Saccharomyces cerevisiae S288C: one gene and its partners. The gene in region 1 interacts genetically with each later gene. Each region holds a gene or a part of one and is shown on either strand. Other genes may lie near its edges.

Region 1 (3,263 bases):
CATCTTGTCAGTGAAATGAGATAAAAAGCTTCTTTCTTTTCTTTTTCTTATTATTGCAATTAACGGGGGTCCGGGTGAGCGTAAGGGCGAGATAACCATGGCGGTATAGGTGTATATGATCAAGTTTTGAAGTCAAGATGCAGGATTGTTCGTTCCGTATTCACAATCCACCGTTAGTGTTACATCGTAGTTTTTGATGCTACTGTGGGCTGTGTAAAGCAGACGCGGGAGTTTAAAATTAAGTTTTGCGGTTATTTCTCGTTGATCAACGCAAGAGGTCAGAAAGCCCTTTATGCAAGGGATTTTTTCTTGCAATTGCATCTTATCATTTTTGTAGCACTGATTATACATAGCTTGACTCATTTGAAAAATTTTATAAACTGCATTTAGTATGGAACAAAACATAAAAATAAAAAAAGATGCGCACCATAATTTGTTTGCGCATATTAAGAATTATATTAGTTGTAAGATATTTATACTCTACGGAATATTTGAAACTTAGATCAGATTGCCTCGATCAAGTCAATATGTAATCAACACTAAGCCTTTTCTTATTGGTGTTGACCGAAATATCAGACTCTGATAAAGTTTCCGACCTCTTTTTGTTATTATTATCATTGCGATCATCAGTATTCTTGAAATTTTCTCCCCCTTTGCCGCCATTCTTCGAGGAAGACATATTATTGTTTTTATTTCCATTTGGTGGTTGGCTAAATGCCTGCTGATACTGTGGTAAAATAATTGGTTTTGCTTCAGCAACTGTCGTTGACGGAGAAAACGGCGGGGAGAATGAATCAAGATGGTTATTGATATTACTAGTATTGACATTGATATTGCTTGGTCTAATATTGTATTTGTTCATAGTTGTCCGTGCTTGAAAGTCGGCAGAATCTTTATATTTGAAGGAAGTACTTGGCATGGACCTCGGAGGAAAGGACGATATGATTACCTCAGAGGCCGGATGGCTCGTTGAGGAGGGGCTCACATTCAAAGGATACTGCACATCTACTGATGGTAAATAATTGATGGTGTTATTATTACTGGGAAGAGGATACTGGTAGTAACTATCAGTGATTGGATGGGAAGGAAAATAATAGGGAGCCTGTTGATGCTGTTGTTGTTGGTGTTGTTGCTGTCGTTGGGTATTATAAATGGACCTTGGAGAGATGGGTGGGATGCTTCTCGTGCTAGTAATGAACTCCGGCGAAGAATGTATTATTTGGGGCGCTTTTTCGTTTTCTGCCATCATCGGCATGTTCCCGCTATTAATATTAGTTTTCCTGTAAGGATCACTATATGATGTAGATGATGAAGCAGAAGACGAAGAAGATGCAGAAGAAGAGGAGGATAAAGATGAAGAGGAAGGCTTACGCTGGTGCGAGCTGGTAGAATGGTGGTTTTTATGTGCATGGACCGATTCCCGATGCTGTTTCAAATTATCAACTCTACTGAAGAATTTCAAACATGCAGGACACTGGAACGGCTTTTCACCAGTGTGCTTTCTTATATGACGTGCAAGATGTTCCGCTCTAGTGAAGGACATCGTACAACCGTCATATCCGGTGCATTTGAACGTTTTCCTTCGAGCACTTTTGGACCTCTTCGGAGTTGATGCCGCTACACTATTGGTGGCAAAGTTACCATTGCTGCTCGTAAGAACGCCTGCAGTATTACGATTCGTGGTATTTTCCATTTCGTGTTTTTTTCTTATCTTATCACAGTATTATTTATGTGTTAGTAAAAAAAGCTAAGCCAGTAAGTCGCTCCAGATTTTTTCTTTACATACATGGTTAATGAAGCTGTTGCAAAATACTGCAGCCAAGAACTCCTGTCTCTTTCAAAACAAGACGAAACTTTATCTGCCGGGATGAATAAGAATTAATCAAAATTATAGGCAATAAGAGTGGATTGAGATTGTTATATACGGAAGACTGTTGAACGGTTAAGGGGGAAGCCGTGAAGGAGCAAACAAATCTTGAAAAAGAAAACATTTTCTAAAAAAAAATAGAGGGGATAAATAAGGCCCTTAGGGGGACTCAACGGCGGAGAATTCGAAAGCCAAAGGATGCTTCCCACCGCTAAGCCAGGGCGAACGGCAGCGGCGATCGAGGATGCTGGTTCTTTAAGGGCACTCGTCCACCTTCGCGATTTTTCTCTTCCCTGAGTATTTGGCAGAGGCGATCAAGGGGTGGCTCACACAACCAGTCGCAGGAGCGTCGCGCATCGGGTATTAGACCCTATTCTGTACACCACAGCCTTCCAGCCCCTTGCCCCACGCGATTGGTGTAAACAATAGATGGCAGTAATCGTTGAGACAACATAACTACCGGCCGTCCCTGACCCTTTCCCCTCCTCACGGTAGAGACAACAACCACGGGAGGAATAAAAACCGGTGCTGGGCCAGCCGATATCGTAAAAGCCTAATTACCCCAGAGCTGCTACGCGGACTTCTATTCTTCCACGCGTCAATATGCCCCCGCGCGAATTTGTGTGGGCCGACCAAATAGAAGAATTGAACGGTGTGTACGCTCAGGGCCATATGATTATAGACGTACACAATGATTAGGCCAGATCGAAATCAGAGGCTAAAGTAAGGAAACGATAGAAAAATAACAAAGTAATTACTATTATGTCTGATAAATAGAAGCGACACGTTACATATTAAAAGAGGGACTACGTAGTGCTCTCTCTATTTCTTAGTAGAAACGGCGACCGCGACAGCTTGGAGGTCATCGTGAGAAATAGATACCTTCACATCGGTAACACCAGCTTCTTCGGCAGCCTTTTTGGCGTTACCGTGCAGTTCAACGGCTGGAGCGTTTTTGTTAACGCGTACGATTTCGATGTCTTTCAATGCAGCACCACCGCCTAAGGACTTGACGCCTAAGGACTTGAAAACAGCCTCTTTGGCGGACCATGTCCCAGCGAAAGAGCTTTGCACACTAGGCTGCGCGCTGCAGTACTCTATTTCTTGCGGGGTGAAATTGCGCTCGATAAAAGTATCATTTTCAACGTTGATGCTAGTGATTAATTCAACATCTACACCGACGCCACCGTTAGAGACTTTCTCCTTGGTCATGTTTTCAATCATCTTGGCAGTTTCAATGGTGTTAGCATTGATGTAACTGTCCTTGCTTTGGATGTTTTTAGAGTTGAAAGTCAAGGAGCCTGATTTCTTATCCTTAGATACACGGGCTAATGGGTCCAAGTAAACATCCTCTTCCAATTCATCAGTGTATGGAGCATGCTCTTTACTTACGAAC
Region 2 (5,225 bases), on another chromosome or scaffold:
ATTTTCAGACTAACGATAGCGCCGCGCGAGATGCTAGAACAATAGATTACATCTTTACCAATTGTCAAACCGGCAGCAGTATTGGTAAGATAGATTTTCGGGCCGCACTACCGGCAGATAAATCTCAACATAGTGGTGTCAGCGAAAAAGAATTTTCAAGACTTGAGAACCAGTGGTCAAAGGAATTCTCTTGTTTCCCCAAGAATAAAAATGCTGATGTGACCAAGCCCAGTAGAAACAAACATGAGAAACGCTCCGCTAATTTGCACAATAGGTACTTTGCACAATATTATAGTACGGCATATCAGCAAAATCGTATATATCCTTGTCGAATATCTTACAATGAACACTCATCTGTTTCTAATGGCTGGGAATTTCAGTTCAAATCAATCGAAAATCAGTTACTAAATGAGCTAAAGATAGAAAACAATGTAGAAGAAAAAACTGTTGGTTATGAATATGTGGCAGAATACGAAGAAACAATTGATTTCATGCATATGCTGTCATCCGTACCACAAACATATCAATTCCTAAAATCAAACATCTACATAACGGAACGGGACCCATATAAAATAGGATGTGTACTAATGGACAACGGTTCCAATTTGAACGAAGTAGTAATGGCCTTTGAAGCAGCCATTTCACAAGATCCAAGCCATATAAATGCATGGTTGAAGTTAGGTATAGTTAATTTTGAAAATGAAAGCGAAAGCAATGGAGAGCTTGCTTTGCGAAATTGCTTAAATTTGGATCCAAATAATACAATTGCATTGGAAAACTTAGCAATTCACCATATAAATCAACAAAATGAATCAGAGTCATTGAAACTTTTTCACAAATGGATTCTTTCAAAATTTTCGAAGGTTTTCCAACCTTCTGCGGGGGAAAACAAAGATAGCATTAATAAAATTCCGAAAAAGGCCCATTTGGCGCATATTCTAGAATCCCTGTTGAATATGGGTATAGAAAAAAAAGATCAGTATGATATATATTCAGTATTATCAATCTTATATTATTCGGATCAGAAAATAAAGCAATCTCAGAAATGCTTAGAGTTTTTACTACTGGAAAAGCCCAATAATGGAACAATATGGAATAGATATGGTGCTATTTTGGCCAATACTAAGTCGTATCACTCTGCGATAAATGCGTACAATAAATGCAAACAACTAAGACCGAATTTTACAAGGGTTCGTTATAATTTAGCGATCGCCTACATGAATAAGGGTGACTATGTAAAAGCAAGCAAAATGCTAATCGAAGTTATACTGTTACGAAGTAAAGGATATGAACACAACAAAGCAAAAATGCAAAACAAATTTATGCAAAATTTAAAAAATGCTCTCATCGCTTCAAAAAATTTTGATTCACTTGATCTAATAAATGGTTCTCATAATACAGAATCGTTAATATCAACCTTAAAAGCTATTTATAACAAAATGGATTAGGTTTTAGTTAATTTTTTTGCTATATAGTGCATTCAAAATAAAAAAAATTAAAGCTGAAACAAACCAAATATGCTATTGGACGTTCGAAAAGCTAATTGCGTAAAGGAACACTAAACACAGCAAGCTTATGCTAGTTCTTCTCAAAAATATAAGTTCCTCTTGCAAGAATATGAAGGTAATTTCACTTTATCGCGCAAGTGCATATTTCTGAGTTTACTATGTGCTTCGTCTGAAACCTCTCATTATCTACTTAATATCGGCTATTCATCTCACGTATTCACGTAATATTTGATTTTTGTACTACTATTTCTCTCTGTCATACGTGCATGATACATTTCCTTGTTCAAATTAAAAGAGTCACCGTCAGCCTCTCAAAACAAAGAAAAAAGATACCCGGCTGAACATGAGTATCAATCATGAAATATATTATATACTTGTATTTGAGCATCGTTCAGTAGCAATCAAGCTCATCATCGTAGTGATTGTTCTCCTTCAGTTTTTTTTAGCACGAAGTCGGCAAATTGATAGGACATGGGCCCATACTAATAGAAAGGAACGGTTCAGAGAAATGACAGCTATCGGGAATACTGATGATGCACTTGATACTAGTACAGCCGCAAGTAAAGAAAATGGAAAAGGTAGACTCAGGGTTCAAAAAGCTTGTGAACTTTGCAAGAAGAGAAAGGTTAAATGCGACGGTAACAATCCTTGTCTGAACTGCTCTAAACATCAAAAAGAATGCCGTTATGATTTCAAAGCTACAAACCGTAAAAGAAGAAGACGACAGGTCGCATCAGCTGTTCGGGACGTTAGTAAGACATATGCAGAAACCAGTGAGTCTTTTCCTAGGGACTTGTTAAGTAAATCAAATATTATCATAAATGCCCCCTCAGATGGTGTATCTTCGTCTGCTAGCAACTCTCCCAATCCAAATTCACATTATCATCATATATCATCCACTTTACCCTTCATGAGCGGTAGGCCAAACCATACATTCCATTCCGGAAGCAACTTAAATGGAGAAAATAACAATAACAGTTTTCCGGAGGATCACATGGCTAAATTACTTCTGCAATTGAGTTCAAAATTGGGGAATACGACCAAGGAATCGTCAATTAGAACAACTAGAACCAATGCTAGTGATGTGAATGCAAACCCGACAGTGGTCAACATGAAAAATAGTCAGGAAGACTGTGACACGAATCACAGGTCTGCAATATGTGACTCTGCAGAGGCTCTTCATAATAACAACATCAATTCTAAAGAGAATAAGATAATCAACTCTCAAATAACTAACACTGTTAATGATCACTTTGAATCACCCTGGCAGACATTTTCTTTAGATAAGTATAGGTTTCACCGACGCTACCAAAATATTCTGCCCTATTACCTTGGTGTATCTATTTTAAAGGATCTATCTCCGCAGACAATAGAGTACGCGAAGTTGAAAAGGCCAAGAGTTCAAAACTATGGTTGGAACTTGTCAGGAGGCCATTACTTAAAGTATAAGGGTGACTTTAGAAGCCAAGAAAAAAATATAAGGCATGAGTCTAAATTTTTCGACTTTGATGACCCTGTTCACTTATCCTTAATCAATAAGTTACTAAGGTATTATTTTGATGAGATCAATCCTGTTTTCAGTATCATTCACGAAGCGACATTTTGGCAGCAATATAACAATAAATTTCTACGGCAAGGTAAACAAAATAATTCATCTGCGAATCTATTCACTTCCATGCTTTATCTAATTTTGTCTACTACACTAAGATTCAGAGAAGGGCATCTAGATGGTCAGAAAGGGCAAGGAACCTACAGTAACACATCCTTAAATATCACATTCGAGGAAAAATCTATTTTGATCAAAAAACCCTCCATAGAGGAAAATTTATTCAAATACGCTTATTTAATAATCAACACGCTGACCTTTGAGTGGGAATCATTCGAACTAATACAATCGTGGCTTTTGATAACCTTCTATTTCAGAACCTGTTACAGACAGACGGCGTGCTGGAACGCGTTAAGTCAAGCGGTGAACATGTGTAATGGGATGAGTCTATATTTAAACAAATTTCCTGAGATCCATTCCACTTATGATGAATCAAAAGCATGGCATTGTTTCTGGTGTTGTTTTATAATGGATAAGTTGATAAGTTTTCAAATGGGTCGATTCTACCAACTATCATTACCCGCGAGCGAGATGTGCGAACAGATGAATCTAGTGAAGTCAAAGAAATTTTTACAAGAAGAAGATGATTGGTTTCACGAAGAGACTTTTCAAATGCTTGATTTGTCCATAATAGTGACACAGTTTTTAAAAAGAGACGCACAGGATTTAAATTTGAACGAGACCGTGCAATTGCGCAGCCAACTTGGTCAATGGTATGACACCTTTATAGTTGGAAGTCAAACCAATGCGTACGACGACAATTATCGTTACTTCTATCAAGTTCAACCATTCATGACATACCTGGATATAAGGCTGACTTTCGAAGTAAGACAATTATTTTGTCTAATCGCCCCCTCATCTACCGCAAATAATAAATCCCTAGAATATGTCGTCGATACTGAATTGTTAATTTCTCATTGTCAAATGGCTATTGAAAATTTGGCTGAAATTACGAGAAGTAATCTTTTCTTTGTTCCGTGGTGGTTAAACCTTTCTCAACTATTCACGGTAAATTTAATATGTATTATCTACCTGCACGCAGGGATTGCCGTAACTCAAAATAAAGCTATCATGCAAAGCTGCCAAGAAATATGGCGAACCTTAGAGTGCTCTAAGCCAAAAAATCGGCCTTCAATGCTTCCTGAGTGCTTGTGGTGTTTGAAAATGCTGAATCATATGTTCTGCATACGACTGAGAGATTCTGCTTTGCAATTGGAAGCTACTCTCGGAACTGATCATGGTGATGACACCCCTAATAGAAATAAGTTTGAGCAGTTCAAGAAAGTTGGCGATAATGATGCGGATGTTGAAGTTGATGCTGGTGAAAGAGAAGAAAATGCTGATGAAAGACAAGAAAATCCACATAACAATAGCAAAAGAGTACCATTAGCTACTAGGTCTCATAATACCACTAACTTCGACGGTTCAATCGCAATTTCTCCGGAAAGTGCAGTAGCAAATCTAGGTACTGATACTGGATTGCCCTCAGATGTTCTTGATACTGTCAGTAAAATAGGGAACTCTCCTAATGTGTTTGATGATGATTTATTTTCCAATTTATTATGGTTTGACCAAAATTTTGCATAAGGATTCTTTTTCTATTCCATAAAACCATTTTATGGACACGTTTACCTACATATTATTATATTGTATATAAGATGTTGAAAAAATTGAGTCAACCTCACCTTACCACATGTTGGTCCGTTGCTATGACAAACTCTCGTTTTACAAGAAGGAGGCTCAAATTTCGGGTCACCCACCCATATACGGATGTCACGCTATGAGATCTTTTAAACAATAGACAATTTTTGGTATCCTAAAGATATAAAAGAGGAGTTTTTTTAAACCATGGTAACTATTTTCAAATTTGCTCTGCTGCAGTTTTTTATTTCTGTTTTTCTTTTTTTGTTCCCAACAAGAAGTGAGTTAATAAAGGCAAAAACAGTGGTCGTGTGAGAATGAATACAGTTTCACCAGCCAAAAAAAAGGTTATTATAATTGGTGCCGGTATTGCTGGGCTTAAAGCTGCATCTACGCTACACCAAAACGGTATTCAAGATTGTCTTGTTCTTGAGGCCAGAGATCGGGTCGGTGGTAGGTTGCAAACTGTC
Region 3 (4,746 bases), on another chromosome or scaffold:
ATGATATGGCGGATACTTGTGGTACGTTGGTAAAAGCTTGTGATACGTTGATGGAGCATGGTGCCAAAGAAGTTATAGCTATTGTTACACACGGTATTTTCTCCGGTTCAGCAAGAGAAAAGCTAAGAAATAGTAGATTGTCTAGAATTGTTTGCACAAATACCGTTCCGGTAGATTTGGATTTACCTATTGCTGACCAGATCGATATTAGTCCCACGTTCGCTGAAGCTATAAGAAGACTACACAATGGTGAATCCGTGTCATATTTGTTCACCCATGCTCCAGTATAGGACAATTTTTTATTCTTAGATTCCTGATTGCTTGCATGCCTAAATACTTCATAATTGTATTAGTTTAAAAGAAAACCTTTTACTGAGACAAAACTATAAATTTAAGAAAAAGGTTCCGGAGCCGGTTTAAAAAAAGAAGATTAAAGATATTATATTTATGTAAGAATTAAATTAATACTGTCAGAGAAAAAATAGTTTTAAAGGAGACGGTGAACCTTTACCTTCCTTGATATGCAAATATTTTTCAGCTTTTCCTAAAACTAAACATTCTCGACTTTTTTTTAGAAGACTTTATGGGTGTGTTAGAAACAAAGCTGTCGTCTATAGCAGTATCCAAATCGTCTGCTATAGGCAGCTCTTCCTTTTTCTTTTGACCACTATTGCAAGTTCTTAGCCAATCATCGTACTTGATTAGATTGTCTATATTATCATCTTGTTCTTTTGCCATATTTTCACGATCATTCTTTTCAACAGCGTTTGAATACATCGCTTTATAAAACAAAACATATGCTGTTGCCATATTTGGAGATTCACCTGTGAATTCTAACACTGTTTCCTCTTTAACTGCCTCTACCGTTTCGTCATCAAATAACAACCAGCCAAACTTTTCATGTTTACATAGGGAAACATAATGGCCGTGTTGTGGCCCACCGCCCATATGAACGACAATCCCAGCCAATTCATACTTTTGACAAACCTTAGAATTTATTGAAGAGCAAACATTTAGCGTCAGAGGATAGTGAATGTTATTAAAAAGCTTAATATTACAGTTTTGTTTCTCAGAATACTTGAATCTTTTCAAGTGTAATGTTAAAGTATCAGGCAATTGCTTCAAACCAACTAATCTCTCTGCCTCCTGTAAACCGCAACATTCGTCACAATAAAACTTGTTTGAGCCATTTAGCATTTCTCGCTGGTGATAACTTTTCAAAATTTCCTGTATATCTGTTTCCTCATCTCCCTGAACTTCTATGGGGAAATCCAAAAATGGCTCATCCCTAGATGTAATGTTATCGCACGTCAGACATTTTATTTGATTCGTTAAAGTGCCTTGAAACAAGTCACTGATGAAATTTTTACTCTTACTCGGTTCGCTATCGCTGTTGATATCACTGGCTGCTATTTTTTTATTCTCACGTTCTATATATTCACTCAACTCGTTTAATAAGAAATTGAAAAATTCGTGAGCATCCTGATGCATAGTAGTATTAAATAATACATTTTCTCTTTTGAGAACATCAACAAAAGAGCTAGGCGATACAACACCAGTTAAATACGTATTCTCAGTTATGCATTCAAAGATATCTCTCAAACTGGAATACAAAGTAGCCTTATCTGAGCCGTTTAAGCTATGGTCAATATTGAGCACTGGCCCACGAATAAGTGCGGATTTCTTTCTATGTTCTGGGGATATTTGAGAAGAGGAACTAGATCTTCTAGTATCTTTTTTATCAAGTGGAGTGGATAAGCTGCTATTACTTTCTCCTTTCAAGTCCAGGTTATTACTATTACTGCTACCTCTTGAAGGATTTTCATAATTGAGAACTCTGCCAACAATTATTTTACGCGGAACATCCGGAGGTCTATCTGTGACGTTCTCGAAACTCAATCTGCTCGGAGCACCAGGCTCATTAGGTGTTTCGACTATCAATGGAGGTGCGTCTTGAGGACGAGAAGAGGGTTTTCCAGTGGTTAATATAGCAGGACTTCCTTCCTTTTTATTATTGTCTTGTACATGTTTCGCGCTAAAACTTTTAAAAAATTTACTCTTCTTCTCTGAAGGCCCAGCTGTATTTGAATTTACAGAATTTACAGGGGTAGGCTTTCCATCATCAACAGATTGAGGTTTAGGGTTAGGCAAATGTCCATTGGTACCAGCAATGCTTTTCTCAAAACTTGCTTCGGTAAATATTCTTGGTTTCTTACCTCTCATTTCTTTCTTTCTTGGTTGATCAGATTCTCTTGATTTTTTTGGAAATTGCAATATATTTTCACGTAATGAGGACAGATTATAGAGACATTGAAGAACTGAGTTACAGTAACATGTATTGCCAAAATTTTCGTATCCAAAAACTTTGTTGGAGCCGTCTCCATAGGGCATTGAGTCGGACACCTTCATAGCTAATATGGGTGCCTCGGGCCCTTGCGTGATAATGCCTCCGTATGCGTTTATAGCCTTTGCGTTTGAAATATAAAATATCCCATCCTGGCTGTAATTACTGCCTTGATTGCACGTTTCAGAAGAATAGTCTAGTCCGGAAGAAATCTGCAAATTATTGTCTTCATTCAAAAAAGTTTCCTTGGTATCCAAATTAGAGACAAACAATGAGCTAGAGGGATTATCGGATGATTCGCTATAACAGAGTTCATCATTTATATCGTGGTTTACAGGCTTAAAGTCAACCTTTTCTACTTCTTCTGTAATGGTATCATTAACAGCCTTTTTCTTCTTCCCAGACTTACTTATAGTTAGCCATCTTCTGATCATGATTGCGCCCTTCTTGCGTGGGTTTAGTATGTTAATGAAAGTACTGGATCCTTACTAAAGCCGAATTTGGCCCCTTCAACAAATAAAGCTTGATGAGTTGAACAGTCAAAGGGTAAGATCTGGTATAGGCAATAATAATATTATCCAAATGGAAAAAAAAAAAATGAACAGGTGAAAAAAAATCAATTTGAAAACCAAAGAAAAACTCTATTGATTCCTTTGCTGTTGTCGACCTTCTTTCACACAATAGTTCAATTACGTTCTTTGGGTTCTTTATCTTTATAGTTATCTTGCCTCATCTCTATGTTCAACACTTTCGGATCGATGTATTTTTCAGCCTTCCGCTAAAATTGACGACCGTCTCCAAACGAATAGGGATAAAGAAGCAAGGACTGAGCGTTGGAGAAAAAAAAAAAGTTACCGGAATGGGAATAGATAGATACCTATAAGAAGCGTTATCGTTACTCATGAATTTTGGTAAATGCACACGGATAAATGCATGATATATAAAATATTAATAAGAATAAAATAAATAGGTAGTGAATAAATATTCTACTTTGGTGTGGTCATCATTTTACAAAGGAGGGAGGTCGTGATAACAAACTGATAAATAATCCTTAAGTTGATCCATTCTTGAATATTGTTACATTGGAAATAATCCGAAAAAGAATATGTATAAATAAAAGGACTCGAAGTCCTATGTAGCCGTCTTTGCAAATTTTCTTTAATAAATTAGCAGAAAACAAGGGTAATAATATTTCTTAGAATATTAGAAGAATATAGGCGTTAAAAACCTTGTTCCATGTTCATATCGAACCAACCAAAAAAGTCATCATTACTGGAGTTGCCTTCAATCCAGCCTGCACTTTGTTGCTGAAAAAAATCCGTTAGTTTGTTTCCAGGAGTCTTCACGTTGTTTTCATTATCGATGGTTTGGAAGTTAGAAGAAGTTACAGTGTTAGTGCCCGTAGAAAATCGTTGGTTCGTTTTGTTGCTATTGATATCATTACTTTTGGAAAACAAGCTCAGAGGTGGATATGCCGTGCTTTTAGAGGAGCCGGGGTCGGAAACGACGGAATGCAAATCTGTCATATTATTTGACTTCGAAGCAATCGGTGTACGTGAATGGGACATACTACTTTGTGATCTTCCAATCGCGTTGGCGTTGCTGAATTGATTATTATAATTCATGGTGACATTTTGTAAATTACTGTGCTCCCTTGGAATAGGGTGGTCTATTCCCAATGTAACATTATTAGATAAGTTGCCAACGGGGTGGTTCCTTAACCCTGGAACGGACGCAGGAAAATGATTAACGGGAGTGCTTACTGATCTTTTCATGGAGAGATCAGGAATTACACTAGGTCCGTTACTATAATAGTCTACCTTAGTACTTTGTGGATTGTTATTCGAAGCGGGGACAGAAGCCACTGGATAAATTGAATTAGAGGGAATTGATATGTCATTAGACGCATCCAATAACGTCCTATTATTATTATAATCGTTACTATTCGAGGTATTAGCGAATAAACTTTGAAATTTTACGCTGCCTGTTTCCCCGAGCATGGAAAGAGGTATCCCGTTAATCTCCATTATAGAACCGTCAGAATCTCCGTTATTTGTCTTGGCTAGCTTTTCTGCCTGCTTTAAGGCATTCTTAGTAGGAACTAAAGTGGTAACAGTGGTTCCACTTGGTGTTGTTTTTGTTACAGTTTCAAAGTCATCTCTGGAGATATGGTTATATAGTGGCAATGGATATAGTTTTCTGTCCGTTATGCCACCCGTAGACGAAGTGCCATTGTAGATACCATTTGAGGAAAATTTTCTTTTCTTAGCGGCTTTCTCTAAGGCTTGCTTGTTATATTCGGGATCCATTTCCCTTCTTCTCGCCTCGTGAACACACCAAACCAAATCATAGAATAGAGACCCTGTTAAATGTGATCTCATCCTAGAAATAATACCGTCTTC
Region 4 (8,022 bases), on another chromosome or scaffold:
TAAATTACAACGTGAAGAATCCTTAGAAAAAAGGAAAAAAAGGATACGGTACAAAGATTCAATAATTGTATCAATATTTCGAAAAATACTTTATCAAAAAAGCAATACTTGAAGGAGAAAGGAAAAAATTCGCTGTCTTCTTCACTTTTACGACAAAGAAAAATGTGCCCTTTTCAACTAAAAGTCATGAATGAATAAATAAATGATTACATATGCGTATATTTTATAGTGAACAACTTCTGACATATTATCCCGAATGTGAGTAATCATGCTTGTGCTGTGAATCTGTGTTGGTGTTTGGCTGTGACCCTGCCAAAAAGGTGCTCGAAGTGCCGGAAACAATTCCACTTTTATCCAAACTGCTCGTAGTGGACGAGTGGGATAACGTTCTTGTTAAATATTTTCCAAAAAGTAAACTGTTTGGGCCAAATGAGTCGCTATGTTCTAATACAAATTGGCTATGATTGGACCCTGAGGTGTGATGATCCCTTCCAGAAAAGCTTGCCTTTTTATTGGGGTTCTTGTGCGAAATTATTCGAGCAGTAATCATGTTATTCCTGCTACGATTGGCCTCACTGAGAGTACGACTATATCTTTCTATCTCCTCAGCGAAATTTTCCTCAAAAAGACGCACTAGAAGATCATGTGATGGTTTTAGATCCTTTGATGGTAGTAGTTCTGCATGCAACGTTAGACAGCGACCTAATACTGCAACAAGCTCATCAAAAGCTAGCGTCAATCTTCCTAAATCATCAGTACTGAACTGCTTGGATGTGGAGGGTTCTAAAAAGGCCTTGTACTGTGATATGCCTCCATTAACTGGAGCTGATATTGTTCCCGTAATATTTGTAGAAAGCTCGGTAAATAAATCGTTCACATCACCGTGGTCCTTCAGAGTTTTATTGCACATGTTTTCAAGCCCATATAACTCCTGTATTTTAACTTGTAAGGAACGAATTGCATTTTCAAGTGGAGAAAGTTTGCTCTTCGTAACCTTTACAATTTCTGATCTATTCATTAGTGTTGGAAAAGTATTCATAGTATGATACGTATATTCCTCCACCCACAGGTCAGTGACTCCTTTTGCGCCTGGCAAACGTCGAGAATTACTGAAAGTCCTCAAATCTCTATTCTCAATGTACATCCGCACTTTGTTGTTAATTGAGCTTTTCTTGTCACTACTGTTGTAATTATCGGATATACTTAAGCACGGTTCGACGGAAGCTACATGAATGTATTTTCCCATTGGAGGATTCATCAATAACATATCCACTTCTTCTTGTGAGTGTACAATATTTGACCCATGATAGCTTCGTAGAAGCCTGTCATGCATAGACGTAATGTGTTCAAATGGGAGACCCTCAAAGACGAACGATTTATTTCTTAATGATTTTGGAAAACCAAATCCCATGAAAGAAACTTTAAAATACGTTGGAACCAGTCTATCAATGGACTGTAATCTGGTATAAATGCCTGCTATTTGGTCATGTACAAAGGCCAGCCCGTTTAAATCATAATTGATCTCATCGTAGGCTTTTATCAAGTCCTTGTATACCGCTAAAGCTTTTTCTGGTTTTTGGCCTCTCGAAAAGTTTCTTGCGGATTCCTTAAGAAGATATTCCTTCCTCTCAAATGAAGATTGCTCTGGCAATGGCGGGAAAGATATTGCTTCAAGAGTATCATTAGAATCCCAAGCGTACGTACCTGCCAAGAGTTCTAGACTCAAAGCTGCTTGAACAAAGTCTTTTTTCTGAATAAAGTGGATAAACAAATCATATATCATTTTATGAAACAACTCTGGCCTGTTTGCTTCTAGCAAGTACTCGAACATCTCTATGTGCCGAGCAGTCCGATCATCATCAAATTCTTCTTGATTAGGTATTTTGTAGATTTCATTTACAATATGCAAAAAACCAAGTAAATCTCTTAAGAAATCCATACAAGCAGGAAAAAAGGTGTCAGAATCGGGAACGTGCATCATAAAAAACAAACAAGAAACAAACCTTTCCAATTCGTAATCATTCAAACGAAGCTTCCCGATTTGGTATGCGCTGAATAATTCTGGGATACATGCGTTCACTGCTGGTTGTAGGGACCCAAATATCCTCCAAAAATTTAGCCCTAATCCCCATAGTATTTTGCAACAAATTCTTGTTGCATCGATATGTCTATGGAAAGCAAAAATAAAGATCTCACGTATCAAAAATTGATTATGAACAAACAATTCAAATTGGCAATCACTCAAGGCTCCTAATCCATACTTTTTAGCATAAGTGATATTATAGTGCCCAGTGGCTAGGGCATCCCAACATTCATTTAGGATATATGCTGAAATTTTTTTCAGGTCACCCGATATCAAATAAACGGCCTTACGTGGAGTAATAGCTAACTTAGTCAAGGATGCACTTTTATGGTTTGAAACTAGTAGTATGACTTTTACATATTCTGCCCAAAGTCGCATGTCAACCCTCTTTTCAGACTCCTTTGATGGAGAAGGTGAATTATTTTCTATGATATAATCCTTGCATAAACTAAGCAATATTAGAGACGATCTTCCTAATAACGCTGATACGCCAAGCCACTTCATTCCTGGGAACCAATCTTGTTTAAAAAACAAAAAAACTGTTTTGGTTATTGTATAGACATTTTCATTCGTGATTTGTCGTGAATAAAAATTTGATTGAAAAAGAGTGTCTTTATCGCACAAGTTTATGATTTCGCTGAAAGATTGATATGATGGAAATCTGCTTGATGCAATTTTCGTTATTTCACAAATTATGATGGCAAGCTCTAGAAGAACTTCTACGACTACTTCATCATTCACTATTGAATCAACCGGTATGTAGTTGCATGGAATTTCTCTGGGAAAAAGCATGGTAAAAACTCTTCGAGGCCTCATTAAACGTGCTTTCTTACAGTACCTTCTTAAATGGACGAAGGACTTACACAAATATGGTAGTAACCTTATCAAGTTCCTTTGTAGCATGTCAAATTTGTAATCTTCGATTATTGTAATGAAAACAGAATTAACCAAGCGTAAGGATTCTACGTGAAAACATTTGTCATCGCCTGGAGTATACGGCGTAAGTAACCACTCAAGGGTTTTAGATAAAAACTGTAACCTCAGTTTATCTACGGATTCCGTATTGGTTAAATAATTTTGCAAAACCTTCTTGTTAATTAACTTCAACAGGCAATTAAACTTTGTATTCAAATATTCTTCTTCTCGAACTGAGAGTGGCCTGGAGTACATTTTTTGATTCATTTCTTTTTCCTGGCAACATTCAAACAGTCCGATCGCAAAACGAACTAAGTCTTCCACCTTACAGTGATTGGTCATTGTCTCCAGCATAGAGGGAATACTTTCTATTAACAAAATTTGATCCGCCATTATTGGCTCATCAGCAAGCATTAAAAATTTGTGCAAGCTTCTGAAAAAATGACTGAAATTAGGCATTTCATCAGAATGAGACGAACCGATTGCCAACACAATTATGTACAGGATGGTTCGGCAGATTGCAGTTCCTGTTCTAGTCCAAGAAGAATGACTCCTATCAAAGATCGTTGTCATATGTTTTATTAGTATCGGTGCAACATTGGGACATTCTAGTTCCTTTGACATGACTTTTTTGTACAGTCTATTAAACCAATATCTAGAGTTTTCTTGGTGTGTTAACATTAAATTTAAAAACTTGACGAATTCACTGAATACAATATTGGGTAAACTTGAAGAAGGGCCTTTTTTATCAGTAGCTTCATTCACCGATTCAAGAAGTAACAAATAGTGTGCTAAAATTGTGTCAAAATGCTTTAGTAAATCTTTAAAAGAAACGTTATTCAGCTGCTTCAATGTAACTGAATAGTGCTCTTTAAGTTGCTGGTCGAATTCAACATTTTTGGTTTGAAGAACTAAGAAATTTGTAATGGCAGGGTTGATATTATATCTCCGACCAAAATATGATGCTTCAAGCTCTAAATGAATTAGAGGTACTGATTTGGATGACATTATTTGGAATACGGTACCCTTTCTATATTCTATGATTTCGTTCTTTTTCTTGATATGTATATTTGATTTTGCCATCAAAAATCCATTCAAATATACCAATACTCTTAATGTCTCGTCTTCGTTCATGTTCTCTACCCCTTCTATTCTAATCGATTCGCCTATGCTCTCATTTGGACGAACTGAAACAAACTTCCAGTCCCCAGATCTCTCTTCGAGCTTATTTTTGCAAAATTTTACGGCCTTATTCCTGCAGGATATTTGAACGGTAACATTTTCTATATTTGTATCAGCTGCAGGAAGTCCATAAAGCGACACCCTACCTAAGTTCAGATAAATTCTTTCTGCTTGGCTAAACATGGTATCATAAAAGTATGTGGGAATAGATCTTATCGGTACTAAAGATGTGGAGAGCACTTTTTCCGCCTCTTGTTTGCCTATAATTTCCTTTACAGTTACCGATAAAGAAACAGCCCTAGGGTTCACAGAAACGCCTTCAGAAGAATCTTTTATTATCTTATTTATTAACCCGCCCCAACCTAAATCCGCATCCTTTGAAGAGTTGAAGTTTTGCGAATCCGAGGAATCGGAGCTATAAAGATAAAGGTTAAACCTCTGAGCTTTATTCGCAACTGATAGGCCGTTATAAAACTTGAATACCGGAGATATGTTAATAACTCCGGCAGCTAAGCCCTTTTTTACGTGGTCAATCTTATTCTCAGTCGATGAATTAAATGGAGAAAATGGGGAATGTGAACTTGACTCTTCGGTAGATATATTGTAAGATGAAATTTCCGGAGCAGTTTCTGTTGTAATTGCTATTGTTTCCTTCAGCACTACTACTAAGTATACTTTATTTTTATGGACTATCGTTTCCAAAATATTCTTGAATAACATTGCAGGAATTTCATCTAGAGCTGATTCCATATTGGACGACTTCGTCATGGTAAAAGACTCTGTTAAAACTTCGTCTTTGGTTCTCAAGTATACACAAATAGAAAGATCTTGATATTTAGGATCTGATATAGAGGGATCCCATGCCAGATCTTTCAAGTTAACCAAAATGCTCGATCTAACTGTGCCGAATAGTCCGTTAGATGAGGACTCATCATCGGACTCTACCACAGGTACAGTAGGAAAATTATTAGTTAAACCACAAAGCATTGACGATGACACTAAAGTTCTTAATTTGTCGATCTCGTATGAGAGCAATTCGCCAGTATCAATATCCCTGGCAAAAATTCCTTCGAAACCATAAGGATCTGGGTTTCTTGGAGTAGAGTTAGCAATTAGTTTATTCTTCCTGTATGTGGAGGACAAAAATTTTGCGATTTTAGTTCTTAGGGATGTTGCTGCTCTTATCAGATTTATTTTCTCAGCCTCTGTGGTTAAATTCATAGACAATCTAAATCGTATAGTGTCCAAATCATAATAAAGTTTTATCATTTTCCTATATATAGAAAACTCGCCAATTGAATACATAGAGTAAACATGCGAGGAAATAAGAGATAATATAGGACCCATTTCGTCCTTAAAGGACCTCTTTTGGTATCTGAAAAAGGGGAACGGAGGTCTCGGTGTCTTTCTTGGTTTACCAGTTGATATATCATCAGTAGAGCTAACATATAGGCTGTCACAAAAGGAGCGGGACTCACATTCTTTACTTATCAATGGTTTAAAATCCTCAGCACTAGGTGCTTTGAAAAATGGCATTGTGCTGACGGCTTTTTCTGCTTCAAAATGAACATATTTTCTAGGAAATATCACTACTTTCGGTTTCACGTCTGGCAGTACATCATTCGCCGAGTTCATATTCGATATGAATTCTTCAGGAAAGGGTCGTAAACATTGGTACGCTCTACACCATTTCTTATCCACAGATTCTTCGAAGACGTAAACTTCTGCACCCACATAAACGTTCGCATAATTGCTGTTTTCATATACCAGCTCAGGATACCTTTGTAAGGGAAGGAAAGATTTGACTAGCACACCATATATTAGCCGATCCGTGGGCAGCCAGCGCTGTGAATCCTGTTGCGACATTGTAATAGTAATCTCCCTAAAGAAAAAAAGACCCCTGTTTTATATGACTAATCTTCGGTCCTCTATAATTTCAATTGAAGCAATAATTGACTGAGTGGTGTACAAACGGTTGCTTGAACCATTTATATTATTTTCAACTCATCAAGTCATCCCCTCCTTGATATGCGTTATTGATATATTTCAGTTAAAATTCCTCCGTATTTCGTGATATATTATTCGCGAGGTGGCGAAAGCTTTGCTACTAAATACTCTACTATGACCAGTAGATTAGGTTCTATAAGGGTGCCAGAAAACTACCTAAGTGCTGGTTGACTTATAAATTTTAAAAGAGTGTTGATGAGTATGAGTTCAACTGTAATTAAATTCAGGGCTGGTGTTTGTGAATACAACGAAGATTCACGTCTATGTACGCCAATTCCAGTTCAGGGTGAAATCGAGATCAAACCAAATGAAGAGGAAGAATTGGGATTTTGGGATTTCGAGTGGCGTCCAACGGAAAAGCCGGTCGGGAGGGAACTTGATCCTATTTCTTTGATTTTAATTCCTGGAGAGACCATGTGGGTTCCAATAAAATCCAGTAAAAGTGGCAGAATATTTGCTTTAGTTTTTTCATCCAACGAAAGGTACTTCTTTTGGCTGCAAGAGAAGAACTCAGGTAATTTGCCCTTAAATGAATTGAGTGCGAAAGATAAAGAAATTTACAATAAGATGATTGGAGTGCTGAATAATAGTAGTGAAAGTGATGAGGAAGAAAGCAATGACGAAAAGCAAAAAGCTCAAGATGTGGATGTTAGTATGCAAGATTAAATCAAGGTTGTGGCATTTTTTGATAAAAAACTGAAGAGAAAAAATATACCATATCAACGCATTTGGCTGTGAACTTCTGTAAAGAGATACGGACCATAACAATAGGCATGATGATGGCATCTATAACTTCTATTGGAAGGTAAGTTTATTTTTCCCATAAATATGTATATATGGTCTATACTCTCAAATGAGCCTACATATTGTTGCATATTAACGAGGTTCCCATCTCACCGACCAACTTAGTTTATCACCTGCTTTAAATGGGATGATGCTTATGTCTTTGCCATCGCTGATAACCTGAGGGATAACTTGTTCTTTTTTGAATAATATTGCCTTATCTGAAGAAGCCACTTCGCTATCTTTAACCTCATAAAAGGAAATTCCGAAGTCGGAAACAAAGCCCTTTAAGTTCTCCAAGGCATTTTGCTCTTCAAAAACTTGGGCGATATAAGGGATCGCAAAAGATTGTGAGTAAACTCCTGCGCAAACACCCTCGTAATTGGCCTTATTTTGTACAGGATGAGGTGCTGAATCAGATCCAAAGAAAAAATATGGTTTCCCTGATACAGCAGCTTTGACTAGAGCCTTTTTGTCATTTGGAAGTTTCGCAACAGGTTTGCAAAAATTTACCGGATTTCCGGCCCAATCATCAATTGTTAAAAATAAGTGATGAGCCGTTAATGTGGCAGCAACCTTTACGTCAGTGGCTTTCTTCACGTTCTTATTTATATCCTCGATTGTCTTTATTGCCGACTCGCTAGTGCAGTGTTCCAGAATTATTTTCAGGTTTGGGAAATCATTATGCAATTTTTTCAAGGCTGGCAAAAAGGCTTCCTCTGCATTCAATACATGAATAGGTTCTTTGTCTCCATCATGGACAGAAGGTTTTTCCCCATGCAAATTTAATACCAGGTTCTCTTCTTGCATAGCCTTGAAAATTGGGTAAAATGCGCTGAAGTCATTTGGATCCACCCCAGCAGCCGAATTTGTTGTTACTCCCGCTGGATAACACTTTACTCCACGAATGGCATGTTGTTGGGCAGCTTCATGAATTAAATCTGGAGTTAAGTCTTTTGAAAGATAAAAACTCATTAAGAAGGTAGTTTTAGGAGCTAGTTTCTGCAGTGTCTTTTTGTATTCAATCACTCTATCTAGTGTGGTAATTGGAG

What was found.
Region 2: mutations in USV1 (region 1) and STB4 together harm fitness more than expected from each alone (negative genetic interaction), as found in Saccharomyces cerevisiae (one large-scale study listed by BioGRID).
Region 3: mutations in USV1 (region 1) and UBP13 together harm fitness more than expected from each alone (negative genetic interaction), as found in Saccharomyces cerevisiae (one large-scale study listed by BioGRID).
Region 4: mutations in USV1 (region 1) and DCK1 together harm fitness less than expected from each alone (positive genetic interaction), as found in Saccharomyces cerevisiae (one large-scale study listed by BioGRID).

Annotation. Positions count from the first base shown.
Region 1 is NC_001148.4:113,742-117,004, reverse strand, and holds USV1 (Usv1p), read right to left. Parts: upstream 1,694-3,263; coding exon 518-1,693; downstream 1-517. Other genes in the region: trifunctional fatty acid synthase subunit FAS2, read right to left, coding at 2,690-3,263. UniProt on the Saccharomyces cerevisiae protein: Transcription factor that participates in the transcriptional activation of glucose-repressed genes during exponential growth in non-fermentable carbon conditions. Also involved in salt-stress response.
Region 2 is NC_001145.3:310,305-315,529, forward strand, and holds STB4 (Stb4p), read left to right. Parts: upstream 1-1,851; coding exon 1,852-4,701; downstream 4,702-5,225. Other genes in the region: PEX9 (Pex9p), read left to right, coding at 1-1,448; FMS1 (polyamine oxidase), read left to right, coding at 5,073-5,225. UniProt on the Saccharomyces cerevisiae protein: Binds to SIN3.
Region 3 is NC_001134.8:93,105-97,850, forward strand, and holds UBP13 (ubiquitin-specific protease UBP13), read right to left. Parts: upstream 2,779-4,746; coding exon 535-2,778; downstream 1-534. Other genes in the region: ribose phosphate diphosphokinase subunit PRS4, read left to right, coding at 1-290; SEF1 (Sef1p), read right to left, coding at 3,565-4,746.
Region 4 is NC_001144.5:963,921-971,942, reverse strand, and holds DCK1 (guanine nucleotide exchange factor DCK1), read right to left. Parts: upstream 6,047-8,022; coding exon 248-6,046; downstream 1-247. Other genes in the region: protein kinase regulatory subunit ATG17, read left to right, coding at 1-26; proteasome regulatory particle lid subunit RPN13, read left to right, coding at 6,383-6,853; URA4 (dihydroorotase), read right to left, coding at 7,064-8,022. UniProt on the Saccharomyces cerevisiae protein: Forms a transiant heterodimeric complex with LMO1, that acts as a guanine nucleotide exchange factor exchange factor (GEF) for the small GTPase RHO5. DCK1, LMO1 and RHO5 relocate to mitochondria upon oxidative stress and trigger cell death.